Linked DNA regions of Xenopus tropicalis. The protein of the gene in region 3 binds, or shares a complex with, the protein of the main gene of each other region. Links are inferred from orthologs where the notes say so. Each region holds a gene or a part of one and is shown on either strand. Other genes may lie near its edges.

Evidence for each region.
Region 1: the proteins of ptpn22 (region 3) and csk are in contact, whole or in part, in an NMR structure (PDB 1JEG), measured with the Mus musculus proteins. The link is inferred for Xenopus tropicalis from reciprocal best matches to the Homo sapiens genes PTPN22 and CSK. Residues at the interface, in NP_033005.1 of Mus musculus: Pro614, Pro615, Leu616, Pro617, Glu618, Arg619, Thr620, Glu622, Ser623, Phe624, Ile625, Val626, Val627; in NP_001291690.1 of Mus musculus: Phe20, Thr23, Gln26, Ala40, Val41, Thr42, Lys43, Asp44, Asn46, Trp47, Ile59, Pro61, Asn63, Tyr64.
Region 2: the proteins of ptpn22 (region 3) and pstpip1 are in contact, whole or in part, in a crystal structure (PDB 7AAM), measured with the Homo sapiens proteins. The link is inferred for Xenopus tropicalis from reciprocal best matches to the Homo sapiens genes PTPN22 and PSTPIP1. Residues at the interface, in NP_057051.4 of Homo sapiens: Ser793, Lys794, Pro795, Gly797, Pro798, Arg799, Asn800, Pro801, Pro802, Trp805, Asn806; in NP_003969.2 of Homo sapiens: Thr225, Arg228, Asn229, Trp232, Asn236, Ser239, Met240, Cys242, Val243, Asp246.

Annotation. Positions count from the first base shown.
Region 1 is NC_030679.2:94,046,240-94,049,900, forward strand, and holds part of csk (tyrosine-protein kinase CSK), read right to left. Parts: intron 2,691-3,661; coding exon 2,591-2,690; intron 1,556-2,590; coding exon 1,465-1,555; intron 1,056-1,464; coding exon 982-1,055; intron 1-981. UniProt on the Homo sapiens protein: Non-receptor tyrosine-protein kinase that plays an important role in the regulation of cell growth, differentiation, migration and immune response.
Region 2 is NC_030679.2:90,488,549-90,491,051, reverse strand, and holds the end of pstpip1 (proline-serine-threonine phosphatase-interacting protein 1), read right to left. Parts: intron 1,464-2,503; coding exon 1,332-1,463; 3' UTR 595-1,331; downstream 1-594. UniProt on the Homo sapiens protein: Involved in regulation of the actin cytoskeleton. May regulate WAS actin-bundling activity. Bridges the interaction between ABL1 and PTPN18 leading to ABL1 dephosphorylation.
Region 3 is NC_030678.2:62,517,238-62,520,898, forward strand, and holds part of ptpn22 (tyrosine-protein phosphatase non-receptor type 22), read right to left. Parts: intron 3,555-3,661; coding exon 3,471-3,554; intron 2,846-3,470; coding exon 2,720-2,845; intron 2,033-2,719; coding exon 1,907-2,032; intron 811-1,906; coding exon 683-810; intron 1-682. UniProt on the Homo sapiens protein: Acts as a negative regulator of T-cell receptor (TCR) signaling by direct dephosphorylation of the Src family kinases LCK and FYN, ITAMs of the TCRz/CD3 complex, as well as ZAP70, VAV, VCP and other key signaling molecules.

The DNA.
Region 1 (3,661 bases), on a different chromosome or scaffold from region 3:
AAATTAGAAACAAAACTTATATTTAATCTACAGCTTGGGAAAGCATGCTACATTTGAAGAACTGGTGGCATTTCATATTAAGCACTTGTGTGCAAAGTGGGCTGCAGTCTACTAGATGATTTTGCGGTTCTACAAGGGCTGGTTAAGTATGTCTAACAAGCTTTAATTTTGCAGCTTCAAACAAATACAGTGCCCTAATTGTCTAACCCAGGCACAAATATGGAACTATGGACATAAAATATAATTTGTACATTTAGGATTTATGGTGGCCATACACGGCCGAAATAGGTCCTTTAGACCGATTTGGCTGCTTATCTGCCTGTTTATGAGCACCACCGATGGGCCTCCCTGGCCATATCTCGATTGGGCAGGTTTGATTTTTCCATCGGATCGGAGACTACATCAGCTTGCTGATGCAGTCCCCAATCCAATGTTGCCTATGCCTGCCGTTTCGATCCAATCATTGAATTTTACTGATTTCGCCTGCTCATAGCGTGGGCATATCAGGAGAAGATCCGCTCTCTTGCCGACCTCGCGAAATTAGTGGATCTTACAGTGTATGCCCACCTTTACAAATACAAACCCATTACAAAGCCACACCAAAATATGAGGCTATCAGTACATTGGAAAACTTGATTGCAAACTATGGAGCTACTTACTCTCTATGGTCTGCAGGGAAATTGAGGCTAATATTCAGAATGTATTCACAGACAGCAGGAGGAGAGAGTTTGTGATAACACAAGCACATCTCTACTCACTGACAGTGCTGGCTACACTAAATCTGAATGTATTGCTAATGGCATGGAGCAGCTTTAAAAGAAATTTGCAAGAACAATAACATGGTAAATAACAGTTAAAAACCCCTAGCCAGGGTCCTACATTGGGTGTTAATTCAGGAACCAACCAGTCTCAAAATTGAAAATACAAGAACAGATTAGACTATATAGGTCAAACCTGTGTAAGGTTTTAATGGATACTTACAGTGAGAACTTTAGTAGACATTCGCCACCTAGCACTGACCTTCCCCGAGACCTCAAATAATCCACTAGGCTTCCCTAAAGATGAAGAACAACATCTGTCACAGTATATCTGCCAACAGTAATTCATGCAAAGCAAAGCTTTTTCCCGGTTTATTGCTTTATCTATAAATTGTTATTTAATTAGGTGTGTTCTTTTCAGAATTACCAAAAATGGCTGATTTTGGCTTCCAAAAATGAAAGTTGTTACTATGTGCTAATTCAAACAGACATGTAGTTTAGCAGCAAGTGGCACTGCATTTAGCAGCCTTCTAATGTTTTCAACAATATGGATAATTTTCATTTGCAGCTTTTTGCATTCTTAAAAATTTGGAAGAGGAAACTCTTCTGATGTTTGAAAAGACCAAAGAAATGTCAGATTACTTTTTTCTGGCCTTTTCTAAGTAGAGAAAGTGATGGAATAAGGTAGAGAGAAGAAAGAAGTTACCTTTGCCATAAATTCTGTGACGATAAACAAACCACTTTTATCTTCAACAATCACTCCAAGTAGCTGCACAAGATTGTTATGTTGCAATTGCCTGAAGACAAACAGTTGATTAAAAAGTTACACCCCATCAAACTGAGAATTCTTACATTGTGGAGTTATGTGGTCTGAGCACTTTACATAACAGTGATAACTATGGATGAAAGCATGAAAAAGTGGTTCAGAAGTGGAGTGTTATCTTGGCGTTAAACACTTATAGAATTAAAGGGGATCTCCACTTAAAACCTGTTTTTTTGCATAATGAAAGACAATGTCATTCAAAGCAGCGCTCCACTACGAATACATTAAAGGACAGGTAAAGCCTACATTTCCCTACAATGTATATCAGTTGGACACATCTCCCCCACCCAAATGGCATCATTTGTACTGCATATATCCCCTCCGCTTGCCAGCACCATCACATTTTCTTAAAGCAAATAGCGGCTTTCACCTGGTGGCCATTTTTCTTCCTGAGGGAGAGGGCTGAGTGGGTTACAGGAGGAGAAGGAAATCTAAGTGATTAAGGGGATGCTGCAGCCTTACTATTAACCTCTGGACAACCAGTGTGGCAGGGATTGAAAGATGTCAAAGAGGCTGTTCACTGATTACATTTTTTTGTGTGGGGTTTACATGTCCTTTTAAAATGTTCCAATGGTTCTATGTTATTTGTAAATGTAATTGCAACTAAAAGATTTCAGGTCTCCAAAAGCTGTCTTCTGCTTCATTGTTTTATTGAGTTAGAGCCAAAAGAAGAGAAAATATAAACAGCCAGGCAGATTCCGATTTTGGCATTTACAGTTTTTTTACTAATTACATTTACAAATAATTTAAATAACATGAAAAATGTTTAATGTTTATTGGAATTACTTTTTATTTCACTGTGCATCAGTGTTTGGGTAGAGGACCCCTTTAAAAACCCTCAATTCCCAAAATACAGGAGATTCCTAAAAAAATGCAATAACAGGGCAACTATGTGTAACAATTTAGGGCATATCTATGCCTCACAGCTGCACTTATATTAAAACTAGTGGGTGATCAAGTCATATTAGCATGCAAGCTGCCTAGACCCCACACAAAGAGGACCACTCACGTCATCACCATAGCTTCTGCTACAAATGCTTGTGCCGTGGCATCGTTCTTGATACATTTCACAGCTACTTTCACTCCTTGATGTTCACCAAGCATGACATCTGCAATTACAGCAAAAATACATTTTTATTTTAACAAAATAGGAGCTTTAATTATTCTTAGTTATTGTAGAGAATAACAAATGAATATTAAAAAAAAAAAAATACATTATATCAAGCCTATTACTTTTATTAAATATTAGCCAACAGCTAACCAGTTCATAAATCAGATATTGGCAGCAGGAAACAGACAATAGTGTTTCTATTAATAATCCTGCCATTTTTACAATTAATTTAAAATCACTGTTATTAGAGTCGCCCTAAGTAATTAACCCCTCCTACAAACTTCTTGCATGAACAGTCACATACATGTCAGATAAGAGACAGTTTTCTGGTTAGGTTCATGCAACTAAATGTCAGGATTAGACCCTATGTAGTTGCAGCAAGCTATACCTCTGAAATCTCTCTTGTGCAAGAAGCATATGGCAATAGAGCCTGAGCTCAGTGTTATATGCGGTGTGCTAGCTTATGTGCATGAAACCTATAGCCAATTTGAAACTCCTGCTGCAATAGTGTTTGGCTACCAGTGGTGACTAGAAAATCCCCAAACTTTCACAAAGATAAATATTGCTGGAGAAAATACAAAAAACGGTCACAAGACAAGGTCCCAGCTTGCACTTACACTTGTAGGTTCAGTCACAGGGTGCATCTTCTGAATAATTTTCTAGGAGTGATTCAACACTGCAATAATTTTATGCACCTTTATAACAAACCGTATGTATTTTCTGACCAAAATATCCCAGAACCTCTTGGTTTTGCAAGCTTTCTTAAAGGAGAAAGAAAGGTAAAAACTAAGTAAGCTTTATCAGAAAGGTCTATGTAAATACAGCCATAAGCACCCACAGAAACGCTTCACTGAGTTCCCTGCTAAGAACTCACTCCCCCCCTTACGAATGTGGATCTAAGCCAATCAGCAGGAAGCTGACTCAGTCTTACACACTGAGCATGTACACTCGGTCTCGGTGCAGGAGTGA
Region 2 (2,503 bases), on a different chromosome or scaffold from region 3:
GGGGTCATTTTTCCAACACAATTGCATTGTTTTTTTTACACACAATGCAGTGTTTTTTCATATAATTTCAGTCTGGATTCATCATCAAATTGCTTGTGCCCAATTCTTTAAGAGTGAGTTTGCTGCTTCAGTTACACATGCTGCTGCGGGAACCCTACATCTACTGCTACCTTAAAGGAACAGTTCAGTGTAAAAATGAAACCGGGTAAAGAAGACTATGCAAAATAAAAAATGTTTTCAATATAGTTTGTTAGGCAGAAAGGAATTCTATAAAGGCCGGAGTGGGCAGATGTCTAGCATAATAGCCAGAACACTACTTCCTGCTTTCAGCTCTCTAAGCTGTTAGCAGTCTGTAACCAATCAGTGACTTGAGGGTGGGGCATATGAGACATAACTGTTCAGTTAGTTAGCTTTTGAATCGGACCTGTGTGCTTAAAAACTGAACAGTTATGTCCTGTGTGGCCCCCCCTAAAGTTACTGACTAACTAAGAGGTTAGAGAGCTGAAAGCAGGAAGTAGTATTCTGGCTATTATGTTAGACATCTGCTCACTCCAGCCTTTATAGATTACATTTTTGCCTAACTATTTTAGAAATATTTTTTATTTTGTACAATCTATTTTACCCAGTTTCATTTTTACACTGAACTGTTCCTTTAAAAGCAAAATTTGTAAGTGATTATGGGTTCTAAAATAATTTTCTAGTTACTATGGACTTTAATGTATAAGTGCATAGAGTTAACATTTGCGGTGGGACCACAGAGAACACTTGTTGTAACTGGGCTCTGTTAACTTATGCCTTCCAGTTAGGTGGAACCACGGAATAGCAAGAAACGCTTGTGTGTAAGATCCCTAGTAATATTAAGGCCTGTGCGCTGGTGTTTGTCAACATGTGAACTGCGGTTAATAGCCTTGAAGCAGTGGTGTACGTTCATTTGATATTTTGTTTTATTATGTAAAATGTAAATCTAACTATATAACAAACATAAATCAGATGTTTATTTAATCATATACAATATATTGATACCCATATACCTTTGCAGAGATGAGAACAGGACAACATTTCCTATAGAAAACTAAAACATAAAAGCAGTTTAAGTGAGAGTTGTTCATTGCATACCCTTGGTGTTACACAATTAGGTTAATGTGTCCAGGAAGCTTTTCTCTCCACTCAATTCTCCTTACTTATTGGAGCTGGCACGTTTTTGTGCAGCATTTAGGGGTACAGACTCACTGTACCCACTATAGTTGGAGACAGAAATGTTCTTTTTGTGACTTCTTTGTTGGATTGTATAGAGCAAATTGCCATTCTGAAATGTTCTCAGTTACTGTTACTCAGAGCTTCCCAAGGTATGACCCAGGCACCAGTCCTATTTTTCCATTTCTCTCCACAGTCCACCAGCCATCGTCTCCCTCCTCGAGCACCCTAACTACATCTCCGGCTGTGATATCCAGCTCATCTGAGTTCTAAAGTGGAAGAAATGTCAGAGCATCACTGTAGGTTAATAATGAAATTTTAACAAGAGCTTTTATTCTTGAAATTACCAGGTTTATATCAGAGTGAACTGAATTTTTTTTCACATGAACAATTGAAGAATCTATAATTAGAAATTAGTAACTTTTTTACTGTGAGTAGAGTTTCCAGATGTTCCCTATAACCTTCCCATGCTGGCTAACCAATTGGTAATAAATTAATCTTGCTTCTTTTAACACCCATACTTAGAATGCATATTTGTTAAAGGGGAAGGCTGGCATCCCAACCAAAATTTGTTAAACAGCCCCATACAATACAGAAACTCCTAATACACCTATTATCGGTTTCTTCAAAAAGTATGAATAAATACCATTTTTATATGCTGAAATCCAGCTGCAAAATGATTCTTCTCTTTCTGCATCATTTGAAATCCTGGCAGGGGAGGAGGGACTAAAACACTGATGTTACAGATTGTAACAACTTACACAGCTTACATCATTCTCCATAGCATGAAGGATCTACATAACCCACAATGCATTGCATTGTGATGTTTCTTTCCTTATTAGCATCACGTGTGCAGAGAATTGTGTGATTTGAAGGATGCAGGCTGAAAGCAGGCCGAGGAAAGCCGACTACTGTTACATTTTTTTTGAGTCACAAAGTAGTCAGCAGCAGAACAGGGGGCCAAGCTTAGGTAACTGTTCCAAGCCATATTATTCCATAAAATTCATATAGAGCTTACGGTGTGTTAGGGTGGAGTTCTCCTTTAAGGTAAACTGACCCAACCCAGAATTCTTGAAATTAACGAACCATTAGGGTTATGACACATTGTGATTAAACTGCCCACTGACTGTAGTGCAGCATACTATCCTGAAAAGGCAATTATGGCCCTAAATCCATCAATAATGCCAGCCAAGACAATACAATATCTGCATATTTTGTTCATTACTTTAGCACAGGTTTCATTTCACTTATGTTTCCTAAGTAGAGGGGCAGTTAACACTGCAGTGAACACATTATACACCACCATCCT
Region 3 (3,661 bases):
CCCGCTGTTTACAATCGTTTGGTACAAAAATGTTGTGACTTTCAGAGCGCCAATACGATATTATCGTGACTATTCTGATTTTTTTGTAAGCATTTTTGTGATATTTGCTATCATAAGAAATTATAGTATCCAATCCGAATTTTACCCATTTCAGGATTCGAACTAGGGATTTGATGAATGTGCCCCTAAGGGTTCACTTTGCATGTCTTACCTAAACACACAACTGACCTGGACCTAATGAATCACTCACTAATAAAACACCTAAAGTGTATGTGAGTCATGTGACAGAAAAGACATCACTGAGCACCGATTATAACTGATGACATCACTAAGGGTTTATAATTTACAGGGTATTGATGGCTCTTGTGTTACAGTTTTAACAGCTGTTAACAGCTTACAATTTTTATTTTTTCACATATACAGATTGACTTCCCAGTCTCCTCCAACTATGTCACAAGCAGCGTCTTATTTGTGAATTCATCTGATTATTTTTGGAGTGAAATTATAAACATTTTCCCTTTGGAGGCATGTTGGAGTCAGGTGGAGTTTTTGCCTTAATCTGCATTGCAATTTGAAACTTGTAACGTAGGAAGTTGTTAAAAAATTTAATTTGTGGATTTCTTCCATGGCCATTGAAATTGATTAGTAAGGCTATTTGATGTAAAATGTAACTTTTGGTTACCTTGCTGCGTGTCATAAATTTAAGTCCATCATCTTTATATTGGGCCCTGCCACTCCATTCTTGTGAAGTCCCTATTTTTGTACTCCTGGCAGCAGGAACAAGTGTAGGATGAAGCTCACATGTTTCTGCTGAATGAATACAAGTATGATATAGTTAATACAGACAACACAAATTATAAGATCATAAACATTTCAGCAGTCCTATAGAAGTTACTAATGTGAACTAGTTACTAAAGTTACTAAAAACCTGATCTGCCTATCTATCTAACTATCTAACTATCTATCTATCTATCTCTCTATCTATCTATCTATCTATCTATCTATCTATCTATCTATCTATCGGCTATCTATCTATCTATCTCTCTATCTATCTATCTATCTATCTATCTATCTATCTATCGGCTATCTATCTGTCTTATCTATCTATGAAATCTGTCTATGTATGAAATTGAGGTGGTACAAGGAAAACTAAAAGCACAACAGTGCACACAGTCAGGGGGAACAGAAGAAGATTTAGAGTTAGAGGAAATGGGCAGGTTATAATGGAAAAAAATGCAGAAACATGTGATACAAAGAAGTCCATGGGGAGAGGGTGGGGAGGTTAGATATATATATCTGAAAACACTTAATTGTGGTCAATTTTCAGTCTCGCTAAGAGGACCATCCGGATGTCTTGAAAAAGGTCCTATTAGCAGGTCTGAAAAGCTGACAATAATTAAATACATTTAGGGGTATATTTATCATGCTGTGTAAAAAGTGGAGTAAAGCATTATCGATGATGTTGCCCAGGGCAACCAATCAGCAATTAGATTTCAACAGCTAGAAAACCAAAGCAAGGCATCTGATTGGCTGCTATGAGCAACATCATTGGTAATGTTTTACTCCACTTTTTACAAAGCATGATAAATATACCCCTTAATCACGCCTTCATAAGTCCCATGAGTGCTCCATTTTTTGATATGGATATTCATTTCTTTTAGATGTACCTGGGCATTTTTCCCTATATTGGAAGTGTTTCAATCACTGGGGGTGTTAGAATAATTTGAAATATATGTATATATTATGCCTGTGTTTCTAAATTTGCCATTTATGCATTGACCTGTCTGTGTGGTCTCATCTATTTAGGTAAAACCACACAGATGGTGAAATCACGTATCTCTCAGCATAGGTCTATATCATATTCTTTTGGTTCTATAGTTTAAAAACTCCCATTTTGGTACATTACCTGAAGTCTCCATCAGAACTATGTCAGATTGCTCCACAATTAACGAAATGTTCTTTGGCGGAATCAAGAGGCTAGCTGAAGGTGGAATAGCAGTACTTTGATCTGGTCTGGGCAATATGACGTTACCTGTATGTAAACATTTTATAGAAAAGGGCCTTAACCGATTAAAATCCTGTACACCACTTTAAATACAACTGGTTGATAAGGTTGTGTGTATATGGCTTGATAAAAGGCATATGTTGTGCCTTAAATGTGGCACATTTAATGTGATTTTTTAATACATCCTTTTTCTCATTATAAAACCAATGTGCTGCTTCTTTTCTTTTAGTTTGTGATTGAAGATCACTAGTGTGCTGGGGCGCCATTCTTCATTATATATATATATAATATGCACACAGTATATATTTATATATACACACACACACAATAAAAATTTATGTTTCAGTGGCAGAGTGGGGGTTGTTTGTCACTACCCACTGCCCTACAGTTTATGTGCCTGCTATGTAAGTACCGAATGCCTTTGTCTATATATAAGGTGCTTGTTTGTAAAACTGCATATAATGTGCTGGGGGTGAATGTAACCACTGCCTTCCAAGAAAAATCATTAACACTAACTTACCTAGGACACCAGGCTACAATGTCTTCATTAGCCTATATTTTCCTACCCTCAGGGTTGAAAATGTAATAACTGGTGCAGAGTTTGCTTCAGGTAAAGAACCCATACCAAACAACCACCTTTCAGTCTATCAGAGTTAAAATTATTCTATATTCTTTTGGTTCTATAGTATAAAAACTCCCATTTTGGTACATTACCTGAAGTCTCCATCAGAACTGTGTCAGATTGCTCCACAATTATTGAAATGTTCTTTGGTGGAATCAAGAGGCTAGCTGAGGGTGGAATAGCAGTACTTTGATCTGGTTGTTGACAGCATAGACTCTCTGTAAATTATGAAATGTAAAGGAACTGTTTGTCTGTATACATGTCATCGAGATAACAAGGCTTCCCCAATGTTATCCTGCTGTGTGGCCTGTAAAAAAATTCCCCAGTTTGTCGATTGCACACACAGGTGCAGGGTGCACAAGCCACATGGCTGGGGGCACTTGGGGAACTGAAAATGGCTAGCCCCATGTCACATTTCAAAATTATATGTTATATACACGTAGATTACTGATAAATCTGTGCAGAGAATTTTACTGCCTTTTAATTGTGCCTTTCCACAGCATGATAATATTTCTCACTTCACTCTCACCTCCCCATGTGTCCCAAAAGGAACAAACTTCCTCCAACTCCCACCATCCCAAGTCTAGAAAAGCATAAAAAGACGTACAGACCCTTTAGAGCCTTTAACCCTGTCTCCTAAGCAATCAATTGCAAACAAAATAACCAACAAAGTGTCTTCATTTACCATGAGGTGCTCCATTTGCCAAAGTTACAAAGTATGGAAGCAACAAGGTTAGCCAAAAAGTGGTTCATATATTGGATAACCCACTCTGTAGAACCTCTGATACAATCAGTTTATCTCAGGGGTTGATGAGGTGCTTTTTTGCTTTCTTTTATACCTACCTGTTTCGGTATCTACTATATAGGATTCAGGGGTTCGCTCTGGCAGTGGAGGAGGGATCTCTTTATCAGGACAGGTAGAAACTGCTGATCAAACAAGATATATTGTTCAGTGAAAAGGATAAAAAGCTTAGTAAAAGTTGTTAGCTGCTTTAGGCTGTCAATGTTAAATTTGATTGGCAATAACATTTGCT